4 linked regions of the Coturnix japonica genome follow. The protein of the gene in region 2 purifies or fractionates together with the protein of the main gene of each other region. This does not show direct contact. Links are inferred from orthologs where the notes say so. Each region holds a gene or a part of one and is shown on either strand. Other genes may lie near its edges.

What was found.
Region 1: the proteins of BNIP1 (region 2) and RINT1 purify together in Homo sapiens (co-immunoprecipitation; 3 studies listed by BioGRID and IntAct, counting the BioPlex papers as one, with this or other methods). This does not show direct contact. The link is inferred for Coturnix japonica from reciprocal best matches to the Homo sapiens genes BNIP1 and RINT1.
Region 3: the proteins of BNIP1 (region 2) and USE1 purify together in Homo sapiens (co-immunoprecipitation; 4 studies listed by BioGRID and IntAct, counting the BioPlex papers as one, with this or other methods). This does not show direct contact. The link is inferred for Coturnix japonica from reciprocal best matches to the Homo sapiens genes BNIP1 and USE1.
Region 4: the proteins of BNIP1 (region 2) and NBAS purify together in Homo sapiens (co-immunoprecipitation; 3 studies listed by BioGRID and IntAct, with this or other methods). This does not show direct contact. The link is inferred for Coturnix japonica from reciprocal best matches to the Homo sapiens genes BNIP1 and NBAS.

What each region holds. Positions count from the first base shown.
Region 1 is NC_029516.1:12,588,533-12,593,720, forward strand, and holds the start of RINT1 (RAD50-interacting protein 1), read left to right. Parts: upstream 1-1,967; 5' UTR 1,968-2,128; coding exon 2,129-2,305; intron 2,306-2,373; coding exon 2,374-2,615; intron 2,616-3,469; coding exon 3,470-3,643; intron 3,644-3,719; coding exon 3,720-3,869; intron 3,870-5,141; coding exon 5,142-5,188. Other genes in the region: PUS7 (pseudouridylate synthase 7 homolog), read left to right, coding at 324-415, 910-1,046. UniProt on the Homo sapiens protein: Involved in regulation of membrane traffic between the Golgi and the endoplasmic reticulum (ER); the function is proposed to depend on its association in the NRZ complex which is believed to play a role in SNARE assembly at the ER.
Region 2 is NC_029528.1:11,061,046-11,066,373, reverse strand, and holds the start of BNIP1 (vesicle transport protein SEC20), read right to left. Parts: upstream 3,379-5,328; 5' UTR 3,353-3,378; coding exon 3,245-3,352; intron 3,127-3,244; coding exon 2,819-3,126; intron 2,271-2,818; coding exon 2,169-2,270; intron 1,467-2,168; coding exon 1,348-1,466; intron 1-1,347. UniProt on the Homo sapiens protein: As part of a SNARE complex may be involved in endoplasmic reticulum membranes fusion and be required for the maintenance of endoplasmic reticulum organization. Also plays a role in apoptosis.
Region 3 is NC_029543.1:3,206,896-3,212,169, reverse strand, and holds the start of USE1 (vesicle transport protein USE1), read left to right. Parts: upstream 1-1,786; 5' UTR 1,787-1,840; coding exon 1,841-1,942; intron 1,943-2,160; coding exon 2,161-2,210; intron 2,211-3,013; coding exon 3,014-3,092; intron 3,093-3,447; coding exon 3,448-3,600; intron 3,601-3,868; coding exon 3,869-3,887; intron 3,888-4,560; coding exon 4,561-4,591; intron 4,592-4,780; coding exon 4,781-4,943; intron 4,944-5,274. Other genes in the region: MYO9B (unconventional myosin-IXb), read left to right, coding at 243-382, 648-775, 916-1,361.
Region 4 is NC_029518.1:90,213,862-90,218,592, reverse strand, and holds part of NBAS (neuroblastoma-amplified sequence), read left to right. Parts: intron 1-910; coding exon 911-1,104; intron 1,105-2,565; coding exon 2,566-2,823; intron 2,824-3,569; coding exon 3,570-3,695; intron 3,696-4,731. UniProt on the Homo sapiens protein: Involved in Golgi-to-endoplasmic reticulum (ER) retrograde transport; the function is proposed to depend on its association in the NRZ complex which is believed to play a role in SNARE assembly at the ER. Required for normal embryonic development.

The sequences.
Region 1 (5,188 bases), on a different chromosome or scaffold from region 2:
TGAAACAAAAAAAAAAAAAAAGCCTCTGAGTATTCTCAGAGCTGATAACACTCTTCCCATTACTTCGTGAACTATACTGGTATAGCTGGAAATCCTGATATTCCATGGGAGGAAAGAGGTGAATTATGCAAAGAAATGTCTCACTAATACATTATTTTATATTCCACATGAAAACAGAGGCAAGTTTTGTACATAAAGCTTTACCAGTCATTGCAAGATAAATACCATCTTCTCTACTTTAATATACAACAATTCCATCTCAGTTGCATTATTGTAACTGCTGAATTTGACTAATAATAATAAATCCTATGTATGTTACGTAGGGAAGTCGTCGCATATGATGATCCTAGAATCCCATTATTTACTACGGACTTGGATAAGCTGGAAGGAAAACCTTTACCAGTTCTTCCTACAGGTAAATTGAATATATCTGTACAATCAAATTAGCATCTAGCAGTAAATCTCTATGGAACGTGTAAAGAAAAAGTGGAAGTGAGCCACAGTGTTGCTATGCTTGAATGTTTATCTGTGCTGAGCATAACAGACCACTTAGATACTTAACAGAATTCAGTGTAAATCTTTCCAGTAGCTTTGGTCACAAGGTCTTCCAACAGTGGGCTCCAGACAAAAAAGAAGAGTGGGTGGGAGTTCAGTCTGACAAAACCACCCATCTAGTTTTTGGTGAAGGCTTAGAATATCACTTCCCGCTGAAAGAAAATGTTAAATGGAAGATGGTTTACAACATTCTGCTTTACACTATGGATTGTAGACTGGGGTGTGGTGGTCGAGGCTGTTGTATGAGATCAGGGATGGCGGTGGAAAACTTTGGTCCGGTTTGGATGGCACTCAGAGTAAGCATTATTTATGTTCTTTACTTTCTTTTTGCTTTGTCTCTCCTCTTTACGATAGATGGTAAATTCCGGGCACTGAAGATGGAGTTCTCCCTTCCGCCATCCACTTACGCCACTATGGCGATCCGAGAAGTTCTGAAGATGGACACAAGCATTAAAAACCAAACGCAGCTGAACACTACCTGGTTACGCTGAGTGAACTGCTGGCACGGCCTAGATTTTAACATGTACAAAGTGTTTTCCTACTTACGTTCTGTACAAATCTTTGAAGGGTGGCAGTGAGAGATTTGTATTTTTTAAGTTTTTATTAGTGCAAGCAGTTAAATTAAGTAGTTATTAGCAAGATGCCGGTTGTAATGTAATACGGGCCTTAGTGACTGGTGCTTTGTAACGAATGGACCATGAGGTCGCTTGAGCTGTGTTGCTGCATCTCTGAGAAGCAGGCTTATGGCTTCTGACCTGGGCACATGTTCGTCTCGCTCTGTTTCAGCGAGCAGTGAATGTTTTTATCAGTTCAGCACACCTTGAGATCTCTATATTAAAGTACAGCATTAGGAAAATTAGAGCTGAGTGAAGGTACTGATGGCTGTTTGCTTCCAAGAAGCTGCTGCGGTCAGCCGGGCTGGCTGTGTGCTGCCACAGGGCACAGCTGTTTTAATTAAACACGAGCTTCTTCCGGGGAAAATGTGTGCATTTTCAGCTTCACCAAGACAAGGTACTGGGAATAGTTAACCAAACACAACGGTGTGTCAGTCCGTAGCGCCTCGCTCTGTCCCTGGCTGAGCCAGCCTGCTGCTGGGAGGCAGAACGAAGCTGCATTTTAAACGATTCTAAACCAAATAGGGAATTCGTGCTGCTTGTGTGAATAAAACGCCGTGAACGGAAGGTGCTCCCGGCTCTGTGCTCCCTGAGGTGGGGTTATGGGGGAGCTGTGTGGAAGGGGCGGGCGCGGCCATGGGGGTGGCTGAGGGGGAGGCGGGTGCGCATGCGCCTCTGGGCCCGCCCCGGCTGTGATGTGTGCGGCCTTGGGCCGCGCTGTGCTGACGCGGCGGGGCGGGGAGCGAGGGGCTGCGGGGCCGGCGGTTTGATATTGCTATTAAAGGCCTCGTTTTAAAGGCCGGCATGGCTATTAAAGGCCTCGTTTAATGTTCAGGTGAAGAGGAATCGCCCTGCGTTCCCAGGAGCCCCGTGTCCTCAGTAGGTCGGTAGTTGGTCGTGTTCCCTTAGTGGTAACCAAGTAGAAATTACGTAAATAACATTGCGGAAAAAAAGAAGGCATGGCAGCCGTTAATGTGCCGAAGAAAGAAGTCGTCAGAGATCCGGATCGCTGCGATATCCCGTACTACGTTTCAGAATTTGTGGAAAGAGAAGTTGGGAATGACTATGATTCTCTGAAGAAGCTGGGCAGCCTCATTGAGAAGCTGTCTGAAAACAAGAGGCAGCTGGAAGAACAGGTAAGTGTCTGTGCTCATTCTCCGTGTGATTTTTCTGTGTGAGGCTTAATGCATGTCTGTAAATGCAGGTTCTCACGGTTTCATCCGAAGTCCCTAAAAGAATTCAGAACGCCTTAAAGAATGCAGAGGACTCAAAACAATCTCTGAATCGGCTTCTAGAGGAAGAAACTCTCCTGTCCGATTCCATCAGCAGCCACTTAGAGAAAGCTGAGCCGTGGATGGAGGATCTCGGGGTGCTGATCAGCCAGGTGGAGGAGATTGAGCATCACCTGGCCTATCTGAAATGGATTTCCCAAATAGAAGAGTTAAGGTAAAGCCGATGTACTTATGGAGAGTTCTTACTAGTGGTATCACACAGCTTCTTCAAAGATTCAGTGTTAAATAATCACATTTAAGGAATAAACGAGAGCAGCAAGTTGTCATCTGGCCATATAAACTGTTAACGTGTTCTCTGGTGAGAACTGGAAGTTATTGCTCTGGCTTAAGGAAGAGAACAGTAACTGTGTCGATATGTGGATGGAACTCTTTCACCCACTGTAAATTATGGTGTAAGAACTAAAATAATACTGGAATATCTTGAGCGGAAATGTTACGCTTCAGACTTCGTGATTCTGAGTTTTCATTCTGGTACACTGATTTTATCGTAATGGGAATGAACAGTGCTGTTTTAGTTAATGTGATTTGTAGCTTCCTTCAGTGGAAAACTTTGTGTAATGCTTGTAAAGAATGTCAGAAATTGGAAGATTCCTTTGGGTCAGATTTTGTACAGAGAGACTTAAGTTATGAAACAACTTGGTCTGAGCTATGAAAATGTGACAGGTGTGCTGCAGTCTGAAATTTGCTTCCAGTTTTCCTCCTGGGAAGCGTGAGGAAAAGCAGATCTTTGAACAAGTTCCATAAAGAGCAGTGCTTCAAAGAACTTCGGGCCTCCCTTCTTTCCTTCTGCCTTCAGGTCTCGGTGACAGGCAACTTAAGGAACTTCACACAAAGAACTTGTTTCGTGAATCCTTGCTGTAGGATGTATGTGATGGGAGTGGTAACCTCGTTAAAGTATTTCAGATTGAGCATGTTTTCTGCCAGTTTCTCAATATGATGGTTCTTTTGTGTTATCTTTAGTGAATTTTTGTCTCAACTCTTCTTGTATTTATGTTCTTGTGTTCATAGTGATAACATTCAGCAGTATCTGATGACCAACAATGTTCCGGAGGCAGCCAGTACTCTAGCGTCTATGGCAGAACTGGATATTAAACTTCAGGAGTCATCTTGTTCTCATCTTCTTTCGTTTGTGAGATCCACTGTTAAATTTTGGCATAAAATTCTTAAGGACAAGTTGTCAAGGTACAGGACGACTCATCACTCCCTCATTTCATGTTGTGCCGTAGCTTGGTGGTAAAGTGTGTGTTTTGTGTTGCAGTGACTTTGAAGAAGTGCTGACCCAGCTTCGTTGGCCATTTGTGGGGCCACCGCAGTCTCAGGCGTTTGGCCTTACTGCGCCAGCCAACGCTTCTGATGTTTACAACAATTTAGAGGTTTTGTTCTGCCAGCTTCTGAAATTGCAAACATCGTATCCTTTAAAAGTGTAAAGAAAATTGCCTTGGGGGTGTTGGTTGGTGCTTAGCTAAACATGAGCCAGCAGTGCACCCAGGTGGCCAAGAAGGCCAATGGCATCCTGGCTTGTGTAAGAAATAGTGTTGCCAGCAGGAGCAGGGAAGTGATTGTACCCCTGTACTCAGCTCTGGTGAGGCTGCACGTTGAGTACTTTGTTCAGTTTTGGGCCATTCACCACAAGAAAAACACTGAAGCCTTGGAGTGTGTCCAGAGAAGGGCAACAAATCTGTTGAGGTGTCTGGAGCGCAAGTCTTGTGAGAAATGGCTGAGGGAAGTGAGATTGTTCTGTCTGGAGAAGAAGAGGCTCGGGGGAGACTTCAGCTCTCTCTACAACTGCTTGAATGGAGATTGGTGTAACTGGTGATAGGGTGAGGGAACTGTCTCAAGTTGTGCCGGGGGAGATTGAGGTTGAATATTAGGAACAATTTTTTCTCTGAAAGAGTGGTCAGGCATGGGAATGAGCTGCCCAGGGAGGTGGTGGAGTCACTGTCCATGGAGGTATTCAAGAAACATTCAGGTGTTGTACTAAGGGACGTGGGTTAGTGGAAGAATATTGGTGGTAGGTGGGTGGTTGGACTGGATGATCTTGGGAATCTTTCAACCTTGGTGATTCTGTGGTTCTATTCTGCGATCCTGATCTGCCTTTGAGGTAAATCAGAAGATGCTGCTCATCCTGTTCCTTTAGTTTGAGGGTAAAATCAGGCAGAGATAAAACTCAGGCTTTTTTTTCTTTCTTTTCTTTTTGTTTTTTCCCAAACAAACAAAACCCAAAACAGGAATAAATGTGGTCATGTTATGCAACGTGGCGCTGGAACAATTCTGGTTGGTTAGACCAGGCTACTTGCACCAAGGTGGGAAATCACATATTGCAAGTATTATTTTAATGAATCTTTGATAGTCCTTTACGAAACATGGATGGATGTCTCTTGGGTACAGGTTTGGGAATGATGATGGGGTTCTGTTTCTTTTCATGATAGTGATTTCCTAAACCATACTGACTTCAGTGACTTAAATTGTCATTGAATAAATAATAATTAGCAGCCAGAGTTATGTTAAATATTTTATAAAACTGAAACGTTTTGAGCATTGTTCAAATTGGAGGCATTTTATAGCTTGTGTGCCTTCGGACAGTGAGGTAGAGCTAAAACGTATTTGTTTTTGTAAACCCATTGTATTTAAATGATACTTACAGAGAAATTCAGCATTTCTCCTTGACTGTCAAACTTAGAGATGAGCTGTTAACCAAACCCAAACAGCTGCCAGAAAAGTACTCCT
Region 2 (5,328 bases):
AAGACAGAATTTGAGAGCCTGCCAAAACAGCAAGATGGAACATCGGTCCTTTCCAGCTTTGTTTTCCCTGAGCCAACTGACCAAGAAAATCCCTGAGCCACTGCAGCCTTCCTTTCACATTACTGAAGGACAGAAAGGAAAAGTTCACTAACTTCCTCTCTCATCCATAACAGAACGCATGAAGAGCAAGTGTTGGTGTAGTATTCCACACTGAACTGATTGAATAAAAAAAGGTCGAACTTCCCCTGTGCTGTCTGGCTCATCAAAACAAGCACAGTGGAATTACTGCTGCAGTATTTTGCAAACCATTATGTCCCATCTTAAAGGGACATTTTGTCTAAATGAAAATAGAAAACCCGCTGCTTCCATTGCTGATGACAAAGCAAAGCCTCCCAGCCGCATGCATTCACTGCATACTAGGATACGACTTGCCCAGAAAACAAGGAAATTGTTACTGCTGATTCAGAATCTGCAGCTGGGATTTGTAAATGATCTTTCCCTCAATAAACTCCAAGCAATGCTCAGTCAGAAACAGGGCGACAAAGAGTCTGCCAAACTGTCTTTTTAATGGGACAAGAAACATGCTACTTTTGTATGAACAAACTGGGCCCAGCTGCCATCCTCAGATGGGGTCAGGAAACCCCCAGAAGAGGGTGAAGGTTGTGGCATTGATCCCAGCCCTTACACTGCTCTCTCTTCTGCTCAACAGCACAGCTAGTGAGAGGCCAAGAGTACAGAGAGCCAAATGGTTCATGAATCACTGATTTTGAGAGGTCACTTGATTTATCTTCTTAGGAGTCTAAGCCAAATAACTGACTAAAGTCTTGGTTTCACAGTCCCTGATGCACAGCGGACAGAACAAGTGACCTCGGGTTCAAGTCACTCAACTGCCTTGTCTCTTAGTCATCCCAGCTGGAGACGGGGTGAAAACAGCCTTCCTACTCAGACTGTTTTCTCTACATATGGACTTGTACCTGTGCTCTTTACTCCTCTGTTGCCAAACGCATGTCAGGACAGTAGCACAGAGTAATATCATACACACTGCTAACTCTGTGAGAATTCACACCCCTTCCACAACTGCTTTCATATAAAATTGAGTTCTACAAACATTAAACAAGAACTCCAGCAAAAAAAACTTCATGCAACATACAACAGTATTTCTGTTCAAATGTTAGAGGAGATCTGCTGAACAACCCCTGAATTACCATCAGAGCAAGCTCTCCTAATGCAATGTGTATTTCCACCATGCTCTGCATCATGACAGCTTGGCTCCCCTCACCCTAACAGAACAGTTGAAAGGTTCTTCAGCCATGCAACCCACACCCCAAAGCCCAGCTCCATCTGTACCCAGGGTCTGCACAGTCTCCTCGCTCTGCTGGACTTGCTGTGACATCATCCTACTGATGCTCATCAGACTCTCCGTGATGTTACTTGCACTTTCTGCCAGACTTTCCTTTGTAGTCTTCCTGAAAAAGCAAAAGAAGAAAACACTCAGGGATAGAACAGTGTCTTTGGTACAGCAGGAACGCGCAGCTGTGCTCTGTGTACAAAAGATACAAGCAAGTTTTACTGCATGAGAACTGGAGATAATCTTTGCTGAACTACTGAAGAGAAATCACCAATTACTGAAGCCATCAACCTGAACAACTGCGGCTCAGAGTCTCACAGAGCTCATGCTGTAGCAGTCATTCAGCCACGATGGCACAGCTTCATAAGGTGACATGGAAGCACTGATACAAACTACCATTTCATCTCCTCAGCTATCCTCCTTGCTGCTCCACAACACCAACCTTGTCAACTTCTCCATTCAGGAGTTATACAAACTTATATCCACATCTACAAAGGAAAACAACTTGCACAGTGATCCACTACTTGCTTATGACCCTGGCAGGAATTAATAAAAAAGAAAATCACAAAAGTTATGAGGCCTACCACAATTTCACCTCTGCTTTGACATGCAAACACTAAAAAAGCCCTGGAATTATGACAATTCTTCACAGTTTAAGCCTTCATAATTAGACAACAGCATTCCATTACAATAAAAGCTATAAAAGCTACTTTCTGAGTACAATCCAATCACTTCAAGCACATCACATTGCTTTCATTGGTACTAGTGAGTATGGCAACATTGTTTAAGTCTCACATCATTCAAGGGGACACTTTAATACCTTTGTCTTAAGGAGTCTCTTCCCTGCAGCAGCTGATCTTTCTCAGAGTTGTCGATAGCGATTTTGCAAGCCAGATTTGCTTTTCTCCAAGCTGCCTGATTGCTGAAATCACAAGAGCACAATGTTGCAGTGCGATGGCAACACCCTGTAAGCAGAAATCACTTTCACAGAGCAGTCACCATAACTAAGATCCATGTATGCACATAGACTTTCTCTGCATTATACCACTGAGTGACAGTATGTTGTTCTTTCATTTCCTAAGTGTATCATTCCAGGCTTAGTCACTCAAACGGACAGACCTGCTCAGAGAGCCAGGAAGGAGATGGGAGCCCTCCTCTTTCTGTCCCTGATCACAGAATCACTTGGGTTGGAAGGGGCCCTTTAAAAGCCATCTGGTCCAACCCCCTGCAATGAATAGGGACTCCCACAGTTCTAGAGCCCCTCCAGTTCTGACCTTGGGTGTCTGCAGGGATGGGGAACAACCACTTCTCTGGGTAACCTGTGCCAGGACCTGCTCTTGGTCTTAATAAAGGCAGCACCGTGTCACTGACTGGGTCTGCTAAAGAGGAACTGAAAGAGCACCCTGAAGGCAGCTACCTCTGAGGACTGGGTGCACCTGTACACAACACAGCCTACAAAACACGGCCTACCTGAGCATTTGCTTTTTATGGTTCTCCACTTCCTGCAGCAAGGCCTGTTTCTCCGACTCTTTATCTTGCTCCCTCGCCATCTGTTCCAGCTCCTTGGACAAAAAAACGGGAATAATATCAGGCTGACCGCTGCCACCTGCAGCTCCAAGGGAAGGGAGCGGAGCTGCAGCGGCCCCGAGGGGAGCCCAGGGGGGCTTCAAGCAGCACAACCCCACCTGGATGCGGCCTCGGAGGTGCCGGAATTTCTCCTTCACCGCAGCGTTGAGCTCCGTGAGGGCGCTGAGCGGCCCCGGGCAATCCCGGATATCCTGGAAGACAACGGCACGGCCTAAAGCACTACGTGGCAAGCAGGGCCAAGCAGCGGGAGCCTCGCAACCCGCACCGAAGGGTTCCTTCGTCTAAAGGGGGCTCCGAGGGCGGCTCTACCTGCACGGCCGCCTTGATCTCCAGGTCGAATTTGACGATCTCCTGGTGACACACCCGCACAGGCACCGAGCCGGCCGCCGCCATCTTGGGAATGGAAAGGCGGGACATGGAGCGCCCCCTGCTGGCCCCCACAGCCCGCCCGTCATCCAGTGTGTGGAAATAGGAAAGGCCTCAGGCCCCCACAGGATCCATCCCACAACACAACACACAAACACACGCGATGATTTCAGACAGTGTTTCCTCCACGATTTTTATTTTAAATTACAAAGGATGTCGCGTACATTGATGAAATTTTGAGTCTGAATAGAAGTTGCGAGGGACCGAGGAGGTGTGTGGGGAACAGGGAACAAAGTCAATGGTGGGATTGTGCCTCTTTTCAATAAAATAAAAATAAAAATAAAGATCGCACAGCTATTAACCAACATCTAACAGCGCAGCTCTGAACAGATCATGCTTTGAACAGGAGAGTTTATTTCCTAACAGAGACACGACTTTCATGGAGTTTCTCTGAGCTCCCATTGGAAGCCAGTGATGGAGGATGCCATGTTTTGCCTTTTCCACCCTCGTGCCATCAGCCTTCGTGTTCACCCGAGCACAGATACCGAACAATGAAGTTTGAGGTCACTTCTCAAAGGAGAAAGTACAATATGAAAGATCAGTACAATTAAATGCTACTCCCGGGGTCAGTTCTTAATTGAGAGGTTTTCCCTCGGGTGGATTGTGCTTTTGTCAATACAAAATCCAGCACAGAAAGTTTTCCTTCCTGTAGATGGATAAACACCCAAACTTGACTTATCCAGACATGGAATGAGCAACTACCCGCAGGGAAGCATTGGAACACTGGTGTTATCCAAAAAGCCTTTCATTTTTATGAAGAAAGATTGTGGCTTAAGATAGTTCTGGTTCCACTTTTAGCTCCTCTGCTCATTAGAAAGACAACAAATGCACTGCCAGCATTTAGTCCTGTGGAAGTTCACGGATGTCTACGAGGCTGAGGGCTGTAAAACAATGCACACACATGCCTTTGCTACATGTGAGGAGCACTGGGGAAAAACACGGCACGTTGTGAAATGGAAATCAGACAGAGATTGAGATACTTTTGTATATTGCAAAGAAGATAGAGCCTAAAAGTGCCATCTTTCATTAACGACACGTAGGAGTCCCAATTTGTATTGGGAGATATTCAAGAGTGGTGTTTTCTCAACGTACTAATGCCCTTAATACAGTTACAAAAAGAATCAGTCACCAAAGCAGTAACTGAAATGTACTTCACACGATCCCTGGGGTAAACAAAACAGATTTCAGCTCTGTGCATGGCTGTGTCAGGAAGCCAAGACCACATCTAGCAGCACACTGAACACGGGAAGTCCAACTGAAGCCTCCGAAATAACAACGATTAGATGCATTCTTGAAATTCAGGTCTCAAGGCCAAACACAGACCCTAACATTCATGGTACACAACTGGTTACGCCTCAACAGAACCTCAGGAAGACTAGCAAGCAAGTCAGAGGAACAGAATGGCATCTGCTATTTCTGTTAAAGGCAACTTATATACAACCCTTTACAATATTCCTGATAAAGCCTCTTGCAGCTTTCAAAAATAGCTATATTTAAATCATTTATGGAAAAAAAAAAAGAAAAAGCACATCCATTCTTTGTATTTTGTGAATAAGCTGTTTTATTAACGAAGGCAAATAGCGGATAAATGTTGGGTGGGGGGGGAAACTTTTTGGATCAAAGAAGTACTGACAGCAGGTGTCTGGTTGCTTTTAGGTCAACTAACAGACCCTTCACCCATTTGGATTTTAGGTTTTTCTGGTTTCAGCTTTTTCCCAGCTTTATTTACCAGTGGCAAAGGGTCTGCTATCTAGAAAGGAGCAGGGACTGAACACAGCTGAGCCTGACTCTCACATCAACCTCGCAGCAAAGCAACTTGATGCAATCACGCTTCAGCTGGCATGGTAAGACAATCCAGCCCACCCACACTTCATAGTTTTATTAGTAAGTCTCTCTCAACCAAGAAAAGAACTCACCAAATATCGGTGTGTTCAATAAACCATAAAAGAAGTGTTAGCAAAAAGGGG
Region 3 (5,274 bases), on a different chromosome or scaffold from region 2:
TATAAGTAAAACTAAGGTGAGGCTGCTGGTAAATCAAACAACCACTTCACAAAAGGTAACAATACCACAAATCAGATTAGTAGGAAAAATATATCTATTACCCTTTGAAACATTTGTATGACTAACAGCTCTCCATCCACAAGCCCTTCAACTGTCCTGCTCATTTGTCTTCCACCTTGCAGCTAGTAGCTAGTCAGGACATGGGTAGGTGTTTAGGACTGAGTCATAAATCTGTCTTACAGAGCAAAAGCCCACAGGTCAAAGGAAATGACAGTGGCAATTCAGAGCTGGGCTCTCTGCATGAAGAAGAGGAAGTTTCTGAAGCTGATAACCGAGAAAAGGAGATTCTCATTGATCGGATACAGTCAATAAAAGAAGAAAAGTAAGTCATAGCCTTAAAAACCCTGTTGTGCCCTTTGTGGTTGGTATAATACAGACAGCAAAGCACTATGCTTTTTGTCCAAAACTATCTACAGTTAGTTCATTATGTTCTACAGGCCTTTATGAAGGTGAAAATGTAAAAGCCAGGATGAGAGAAAATACTTTGAGAATTATTATTTAATGACTATATGCAGGAAGGTTTACCTCTGATAGGAGCAACCTTAAGCAGCGTTTATTTCAGAAGTGCTCTTTCTGTCCTGATGTAGGGAAGACATAACATATCGGTTACCTGAGCTTGATCAGCGAGGCTCTGATGAGGAAAATGTAGACTCTGAGACCTCAGCAAGCACAGAGAGCCTGCTAGAAGAGAGAACGGGGCGGATGGATACCGAAGGTCAGTATTAAGGTAGTGTGTGCTTTTTTTATTCTACATATTTCACTGCATCGAGCCAGGTGACCAGATGCTACCTGGTCACACCTGCTTGTATCACGTTACATTCTTATGCATGCTTTCAGTGTATTGTTTCTTTAAAGGAATTACGATTTCTGGAGTCCAGTGCTGCGCTCAGAGCTCTGACGTGCCTGCCAAAGACATTTGCACAGTGCCTTCTCTTTTGCAAACCTCTTCAAGTTCTTTGTCTGCATCCCTGGCTTCAAGACGCAGATTGTCTTTTACACTGTCCAAGATTAAGGTGCCCCGTCGAACTCCAGTGATGCCAACAGCAAACATCAAACTTCCTCCTGGGATTTTCAAATGTACCGAATCTCAGGGCAAGGCTTCAGCTGATGAAGAGTCTCCAATAGTGGTGAGACGAAGGGAGCAGCCAGCAATACGAACTGATAAAGTCCACTCTATCTACATTGCACAAGGGTCTGCAATGACCCACCCTCAGGAACTTTTAGATGAATATGAACCAACAGCAAAAGTAAAACGGAGGTTTTCAGACCCTTATTCCCACCTTGTGTGTACGGAGAAGTGAAATACTGAAGCTGTCTGGATCTTTCTGAAGTTGACTTTAGATTTTTAAGGCTTTGAAGGCTGTGAACTTATTCATGAATGTACAGGTAAAGAAAAAATAGCGTCCCGTTTCTGCTGCCGTGCCTTCTTCCATTTGCCTTACAGTGGACTTTAATGGGACCAACAGTGAGTGTGGGTCAGTGTACGTTGCCTTAATTTTGTATGTTTTTATGACGACTTTGTGCGGTTTACAGAACTGTTCGTGTTGTAATAGCCTTAACTGAGACCAAATGTACAAAAATGTTCATTAATACATTGCACTTTTTAAAAAAATACACCAAAGTTTGTGTCTATTTATCGACGTTTATTATCTGCCTGTATCTGTGCTGTGTGGGGAGCCCCGCCTACAACGGCCGAGCGTCTCCATCACCTCCCGCCCCGCCCTAAGATGGCGCCGCCCGGAAGCGGTGCTGAGGTGGCTTCCGGTGCCGGCTGTTCGCAATGGCGGCGACGCGGCTGGAGCTGAATCTGATCCGGCTGCTGAGCCGGTGCGAGGCGCTGGCGGCGGAGCGGCGGGATCCCGAGGAGTGGCGGCTGGAGAAGGTGAGGGGCGGCCCGGCCTTGTGTTGGGGAGGGACTGGCCGGGAACAGCCCTCGGCCTTCAGCAGCATCATTCTGCTCCTCGGAATAAACAGAGGTAGCCCGGTGTCAGGGCGTTAAACCCCATTGCGCTGTCAGCCGTGCTGCGGCTTCTGCCGGGATTAATATTAATATCTATCCGCAATGCTGACTCCTTTCTCTCTCTCTCCTTTCTCTCTCAGTACGTGGCCGCCCTGGAGGACATGCTGCGGGAGCTGAAGAAGCAGTGCAGGTGAGGGCTGCCAGGATCACATCGTGGCGTTGGGGCCTCACTGCCCTATTAGTATAAAAACCTCCCTGTGTGATATCTTGGAGTTCTGATGGTTTTAAAACCATTCCCCCTTGTCCTGACACTGTCTGCAGCCTCACTTTAAGTACTGGGAGGCCACAGTGAGGTTTCCTCAGAGCCTTACTTCCTTCACCATACTTTGTGCTCTCTGGTGTCACCGTGGCCCTCCTGTGGATGTATTCCAGAAGTTACATGTCTTTCCTGTGCTGGAGGATACAGTCCTCCAAATGGGGCCTCACAGGAGCAGAGCAGTGGGAGACAATTCCCTCCATGCCCTGAGCCACCCCTCCCATCCCCCATTGATGCAGCCCAAGATGCCGTTGGCCCTTCAGGCTGTAAGCACACACTGCTGGTCTGCATTCAGTTTGTCATCTACCAGCACCCACAGCTCCTCGGTAGGGCCGCTGTTAGAGCGTTCTTCACCCAGTCTGTTCACGTATCTGGGGTTGCACTGACCCGAGTGCATCAGGCAGTTGCACAGCTGTGCCATGTTCACATACACGCTTCATTCTCCTTGTCAGCCTCGGCTCTGCACAGTGTTCCTCTGCTTGGCTGTGTCCTGAGCTGCTGCAGTCACAGTGCCTCGGCAAGGTGGTTTGAGGGGGTGCAGGTATGCTCCCAACTTGAGTCTATTTCTTTCTTGAAAAAGCCCACGTTGATTAATTTGATTTGAAGACTTTTCTAAACAATGGAAATTGGTAATGCTTTACTGCTTTTCACATGTTTTTTTTTCCCAATTCTAATAGCAAGCCTGCCCCAGAACTGCTCAATGAATACACACGTAAAGTAGACTTTCTAAAGGGACTTCTGGAAGCTGAAAAACTGGTAAGATATGTTAGTTTACCTTGGAAAAACTTAAGAGATATTCTCCTCTTAAACTCTCCTTGTTGCCTTGTTCCTACGCTTGCTTTTATCTTACATCCCAAGATAACACTTGTTAAAATCTTATCAGGCAATTCTCGACAAGAGTGAATAAATATATTGTATTTTGTTGAAAGAGGGTATTGTGTGAAGTCTGAAACTTCTTCCTTCCTTCTCCAAGCTGTAGTTTGCAAAATTCCACAGCCATTCCAGCAGCTGTGGAAGTGCTCCCTAAATCCTCATTGGCCATACATCCAGGTGGCCTTACGCTACTGAATGATGTTTGTGACTCTTTCTCGTTGGTTCTTCTTACTTACAGTCTTCATCAACTGAAAAGGCACTGGCAAATCAGTTCTTAGCCCCTGGGCGTACTCCTACTACGATCAAGGAGAGAACCCCAGCTTCCAAAACGGTTCATCTGCAGACCAAGGCTCGTTGCACAGGCAAGATGAGGAGTGAGCTGCTTGGTACAGTATGTTCTGGTGCTGCTGCTTCTCTACTATTACTTTATAGATGGTCTCTTATGACATTTGGTTGCCTTTGGTGGCTGTGCCTCAGGTACATCCTAGGCTGGGGGTGGAGTCACCTTTTGTTTTTCCTATGGATAACCTAAATACTGGGCACAGGTGCCATACTGTGCATGGAGGCCCTTGAATCTGTGATTCCATGTGATTGTTCCTCATGAACCTTTTCACTGGCCCTTTGTAATCTTTTCTTTTGTTTCTCTTCCTGCCTCCCAGGATCCCTTGGCTCTCAGTGGTAAGTTCAATCTCCTTTTCTTTAATTGACCTGAATTTTATGAGTAAAGAAAGAGGAAAGTCAGGTGTTAGAGGTGTATTTCTAAATTACTGACTCACTTCTTGTCAAGATATAAGATATAAGATATAAAAGAAACACTGAATAGGTGAGAACATGAGCAGTGTTACCTGTACAGCAGAGGAGACTTGCAGGAATTCATGCTGAAACAGGTGTTTCAATTGTAGCATTAGCAAGGAGGGTTTGTGTTTGTCATTGCCAACGTTCTCTTCTGCTGTGAGCAAACCGTGTGATCTCAGGAGCTAACATACAGCCACGTTATTCACGTAGGGAACTGGTAGGATTTAATTTGTGGTTTCCATAGCTACTGTAACAGTGGCTGGAATGAGGCCAGTCTGAGTGTCCTGGAAGAGAACAGCACAGCCCATGGGCGAAGCCGAGCCCTCAGGGAAGTGATTCATCTCAGGTGTTTTATTCTCCCAACCAAACGTTTGCTGTTATGTACTGTCTTTTCCTGGTGGAAAACAGACGTTTGAAATCCACGTTCCCTGGTGTAGAACCAGGCCAACTGGGATTACATCTCTGGGAAAGAAAATCTTTCAAGGAACTTGTTTTATCAGCCTGTGATTGTGCAGTGTTGAGTAATATGCTAAAACAGCATTTATTTTTGTTCCAGATTCTGAGGAGCTGAATGTAAGGAAGCGGAAGTAAGTCAGAATTCCTTATTTTGATGCTCCGTGCCTTGGGACTGCCTTTCCCAATGACCTTAAATCACAGATACGTTCCCATTTGGGTGAAGTGCGTGTTGTTCTGTCAGAGTTGTACAACCTGAGCTGACCTCCCAGTGGTTCCCCATAAGTACAAATCCCTATTCTTCTTTCCTTGTGCTCTTGCAGAGGCCTTGTGTCTGATGAGAAGCAGTCAGCAGTGGAGCTGGATGCTGTGTTACAGCACCATCAAGACATGCAGGAGAAGTTAGCGGAGGAAATGCTGAGTTTGGCTCGCAGTCTCAAAAACAACACTTTGGCTGCTCAGAACGTGATAAAGCAAGACAACCAGGTAGCGTGTGTGACAATGCTGAACTCTTCAGTTGCAATCTAGGAGGTTAAGTCGCTCATATGTAAGAAACAAAAGCTGAGACTTCCAGATGAGGTTAGAATGAGGGGAAATTTGCAGGCAGTGCCTGTCTGCTTCTGCCATGCAGCTGTGAACCTTTTCTCTGTTGGAAGAACTGGTGATGAGAGCTTTTGAATTCAGAATTGAAGGTGTTCTGTCTGTAAATTATGTGTTTGAGACTGCTGGTGCTTCACTTTGACAACTGGAACTCTTTAAAATGAATTTATTTGTTAGGACCTTGTTTTTTTCACAACTTACCTACAGGTAGTGCAGT
Region 4 (4,731 bases), on a different chromosome or scaffold from region 2:
CAAAATTCACTTAATCATATGCAGCCATTTATCTCCTGGGTACTTCATGGCTCTTCTATGAGTGCAGATTGTTACTTGTTCAAGATCCATTTACTGATGCTTGAATTTGTTTTTGTTATTAAAAGCTACCCATTTCTTTGTGCTGTTTTCTTGGTGATTCAATTTTTGGGTTAAGATCTTCATGGCTAACCAGATGACTAAGCACTGAGGTAGCAGAAGAGTGTTAAGCTGATTTGTTTCTAACTGCTGTTTGGGAAAAGATAGCTTTTTTTCAGAGACATGAGAAGTGATAATATATTAAACAAATTAAGCTAGCTCTTTGTGGTGAACATTTTGTCCCAGCGTCCAGTTACCATGCAGGTGACACAGTTTCCTTCCTCATTATGCTGTTTTTTTAATCTTGTTGGCACTTTAATTTTCTTAATAGTGTCACCCTGTGGGCTGTTTCAGGAGCCTTGTTCACAGTTGTCAGTTTTCCTCAAAAGCAGTGAAACCTTTTTTGTTTCATCAATATAATGATCTTGGTTAGAGAGACTTGACCAAGGATGTCTAGGGAAATATTAAGGAGGCGTTTATCAGCCATCTAAGATTTGTCAAGTTTTATGCAAGTGAATCAGTTTATTGTGAATTCTTTTTCCAAATTATATTAAAAAGCAAACAGATTAAATAAAAAATTAAGTTTCTTCTTCCCTCCCCTTCCCTCCTATCCTTCAGCTAACTGGAATGGTTTCACTAAACTAGCAGACATAAAATACAAATTCAGTGAACCAAGAATGTATATAAAATAATAAATGCTTGTTAAATTTAGACCATCAGATGTTAACTCTTAATAGTTGAAGCCACTGCAGTTCTTATCTGGTGTTTAAAATTGCCTTTCCTTATATGGTGCTTTCTTATTTCTTTATTTCAGATAAAGAATCTTATTACCCACTGATAGATGTAAATTGGTGGGCAGATAGTTCTGTGATCCTGGCTCGTTGCTCTGGTGCATTGACTGTGTCATCAGCCAAGACATTAAGAAACTTGCTGGGAAAGTCATGTGAGTGGTTTGAGAGTTCTCCTCAGGTCACTTCAGCTCACGATGGAGGATTTCTGAGTCTGGAGGTGAGGAATGCACATAAGCAAATATAAGGAATGCAGTAGAAGCAGTGTTCTGTTGTGTATGTTGCATGCATATATGTGCTTATTAATAAGAAAAGTGATTCTTTATCTCTAGGCAGGCAATTCTGAACCTCCTGCAATTCAGATATCTATAAAAAACTTAATTGCCAAGTAACGTGGCAATTGCACTTAACAAGTAATTGCCAAGTGTAGATGGAAAACTTCTGGAAGCCTGCATCTGAATTAAAAAGTTTTGCTGCAGGAAACAGTTTGTGTCAGCTCACTTAAAAAAACCAAAACAAAACAAGAAACTGCTTTGTTAGTGCATTTGAAGAATACTTCAAGCATCCCTCTTGTTTTGAAACAGATGCTTGCAGAGGGAGTATGTTTACGGGAAGCAAGGAATAAATCGTAATTGACCAAGCCTTGGAAGGGATCTGTTTTTTATTCACCTTTAATAGGGTTCTAGGCAGGAGTAGAACATAACTTTGGTAATGAAGTAGACCAGGAATTTTCTTTGAAAATAAGAATGCTTACACTAGAATAGATCTTAAACATCTTAAATATTTAGCTGAAATAGCTGAGTACATACCAGAGCTTTTTGCGCACATTTCTGGCAAGTTTTGTTATTTAAGAAATGAAATAGAGCCAGTGACTGGCATGTTACAGCCTATGGAAGAACAGTTTGGAAATAGATCTGCATTGAACAGGAATCCATAATTTGCTTAGCTAATAGTTGAAAACATTGTTACACTCTGAAGTAAGCTGTATAATTATACTGAGATTAAATATAGATCTGTAAACAGTAGATCTGTACTGTCTGTGGATGGTATAGGATTGAGTGTATCTAGTATAATAATGGACTACTGATAAGAAGCCTTTGCCCTTGCTTTAGTAAGAAAGTGATGAAACCTCAGATCTAGAAGACAGACCCAGTCAGGGCTTGTGGAGAGTATTACTCAAGCTGAGAAGTAAAGGGTTTACAAGCGAAAAAATGTTGATTTTGAAATTGAACTTGATCCAGGTTTATAAATACCTGAGGTGTGGGAGACATAGTGGTGAGTCTGGTCTCTTTTCAGTAGTGCGTGGGGATAGGACTAGGGGTAATGGGATGAAACGACAGCATAGGAAGTTCCACACAAATGTGCGGAAGAACTTCTTTACAGTGAGGGTGACGGAGCACTGGAACAGGCTGCCCAGGGAGGTGGTGGAGTCTCCTTCTCTGGAGATATTTAAGACTCGCCTGCCTGGACGCCTACCTGTGTGATGTGGTGTAGGGAGCCTGCTTTGGCAGGGGGGTTGGACTTGATGATCTCTAGAGGTCCCTTCCAACCCCTACAATTCTGTGATTCTGTGTGATTCTGTGAAATTTGAAGTACTGGAAGTGGACATGTACCTCATTGTCACAAAGATATACTGTGTGGAAACTTTCTATTTTACCCTTAAGAACTGTCTTCTGTGCAGTGTGAAATAAAACTAGTTCCAAAAAGACTACGCTTGGAGAGCAGACCTGGTGATGAAGATGAGGGAGAAGATGACTCTGACTCAGATGATGAAAATTCTGCTAAGGACAGATACTTCAGCTACCTGAAGCAAGGCCTATATTTTGTGACAGAAATGGAACGATTTGCTCCTCCACGGAAACGTCCACGTACAATTACAAAGAATTTCCGCCTTGTTAGCTTAAGGTCCACGACTCCAGAGGAACTTTACCAGAGAAAAGTGAGTATAAAAGGGAAGATTCCATCTCTGGTAAGGAGCTTTAATTGAACAGATTTTTTTCTTCTTCTTATTTTTTAAGACTTGCTATTTTAACACTAGGTGCGTATTTCTAAGGGCCTCATAGACAGCAGTGTATCATGTTACCTAACATAAGTTAGGTAAAACCAGCATTGTAATTGAAGTAACAGGATGTTTGCTGGTCATCATGTTTCATTAGTGTGGCCAGACTCGTTGTGCTAATGTGTTTAAAAACAATGGAAGAATGGGTGGATATATCGAATTAAATTAATTTAGCTTGTTATTATCTAGGGAATGGGTTAATCTATACCTTGATATTGCTATTATATGAATGTTTTTTGAGACGTGCCATGCATACAAAGTAGTCTTGTGACTCACTTTTATCGCATAAGAGATGTGTCTTTATTTTGAAGGCAGTACTTTGTTTAGGACACTTCAGTTCTTCTAATGATAAGCTAAAACTATAGCTATTAGAGTTTTCAGGGGGTGCTGCTGTTGTAGTGATTGCCTACACAGCTTCTTTCCTTCTTACTGGGAAGTTTGTGGTTTTCCTAGAGGTTACTATCTGGCCTGAGTTAGGAGTTCTACATATTCTAATCGTACATTATGTTTGCTTTCCTACGTGCGTAAGCACACCCATAGTAATTATCCCTCTACCTGTTTTAACACAGAGAATTAATTATTGATTGTTTAATATTGACTTTCATTTTCATGTGTTTGCTTTTTAGATTGATAATGAAGAATATGAGGAAGCTCTGTCTTTGGCTCAGGCATATGGCCTTGATTCTGATCTTGTGTATCAAAGGCAGTGGAGGAAGTCAGCTGTTAATGTTGCTTCAATTCAAGACTATTTGGTGGGTTTGTTTTTATGACTTCAGCATTTTTATTTTTATATTTTATTTTTAGAGTTGCTGTGTAATCTTTGCAGAAATCTCCATTGTGTTCTAATTTATGCAGCATAAACTAGTGGCAGTTCAGAGAGCTGTCCTGTAAGTGTAAGAGAGTGTAAATGTAAGAGAGAGAGTCATCTTGTTAATTTAACTGAAGGCCTGATCTGGAGGACTTAGAGCTTTTATCTGAAATTAGAAAATATCTCCAAGGAGAAATTTCTATCAATGTGCTTTCTCTAGTGTAATCTTGTCTTCACATGCAGCATTAGATTGTTTCCTGGGAATAAATCATAACTGCAAATATATTGCTGTTAAGAAATTTCCAGGTATTGTAGAGCTATATGGAAAGGTTAGTTTGGTATCCATAGCAAAGGCTGAATAATGAAACTTGCATCAAATCCAGCCTGTAACTAAAGCTCTTCTGTAGAATCAAACATAGTTTTTTTGTTTGATTGTTTTGGCATGAGAAAAAATAATCCAGCAGGTGAGCATTGTCAAACGGCACAACCTACCAGTGTGTGGTGGTGTAAAATCTTCCAGGATATCAAGAGAAATATATGCTGATTTTAATTTTTTTTTTTCCCAGTCATCCTATCTGTCACAAAATCTCATAGGCATGTGGAGAGATCAATACTGAAAATGACTCCGGTGCTGTTGTGGAATACGTTGAATGTATAATATCTATATCTTTATCTCCGAAACATTATATTTCTGATAGTATAATCAGCAGAGATACTAATCAGAGAACAGAAGTAGTAATTTCTGTTCTTATTGCTGTTAAGTCATCTGGCATTTGTTCATTAGCTTTGTAAAGAGTCTTAGCTTCATTACATTAACAGGACAAAGTAAAATTCATGTACTAATAAACAAAACTGTAGATGACTGTTTGTGGAGTATTTTCCTCATCTTTTTTTTGGTTCAAATCATAGAATCACAAGGTTGGAAAGGACCTACAAGATCATCTAGTCCAACCATCCTCCCTTTACCATACCTACAGAAA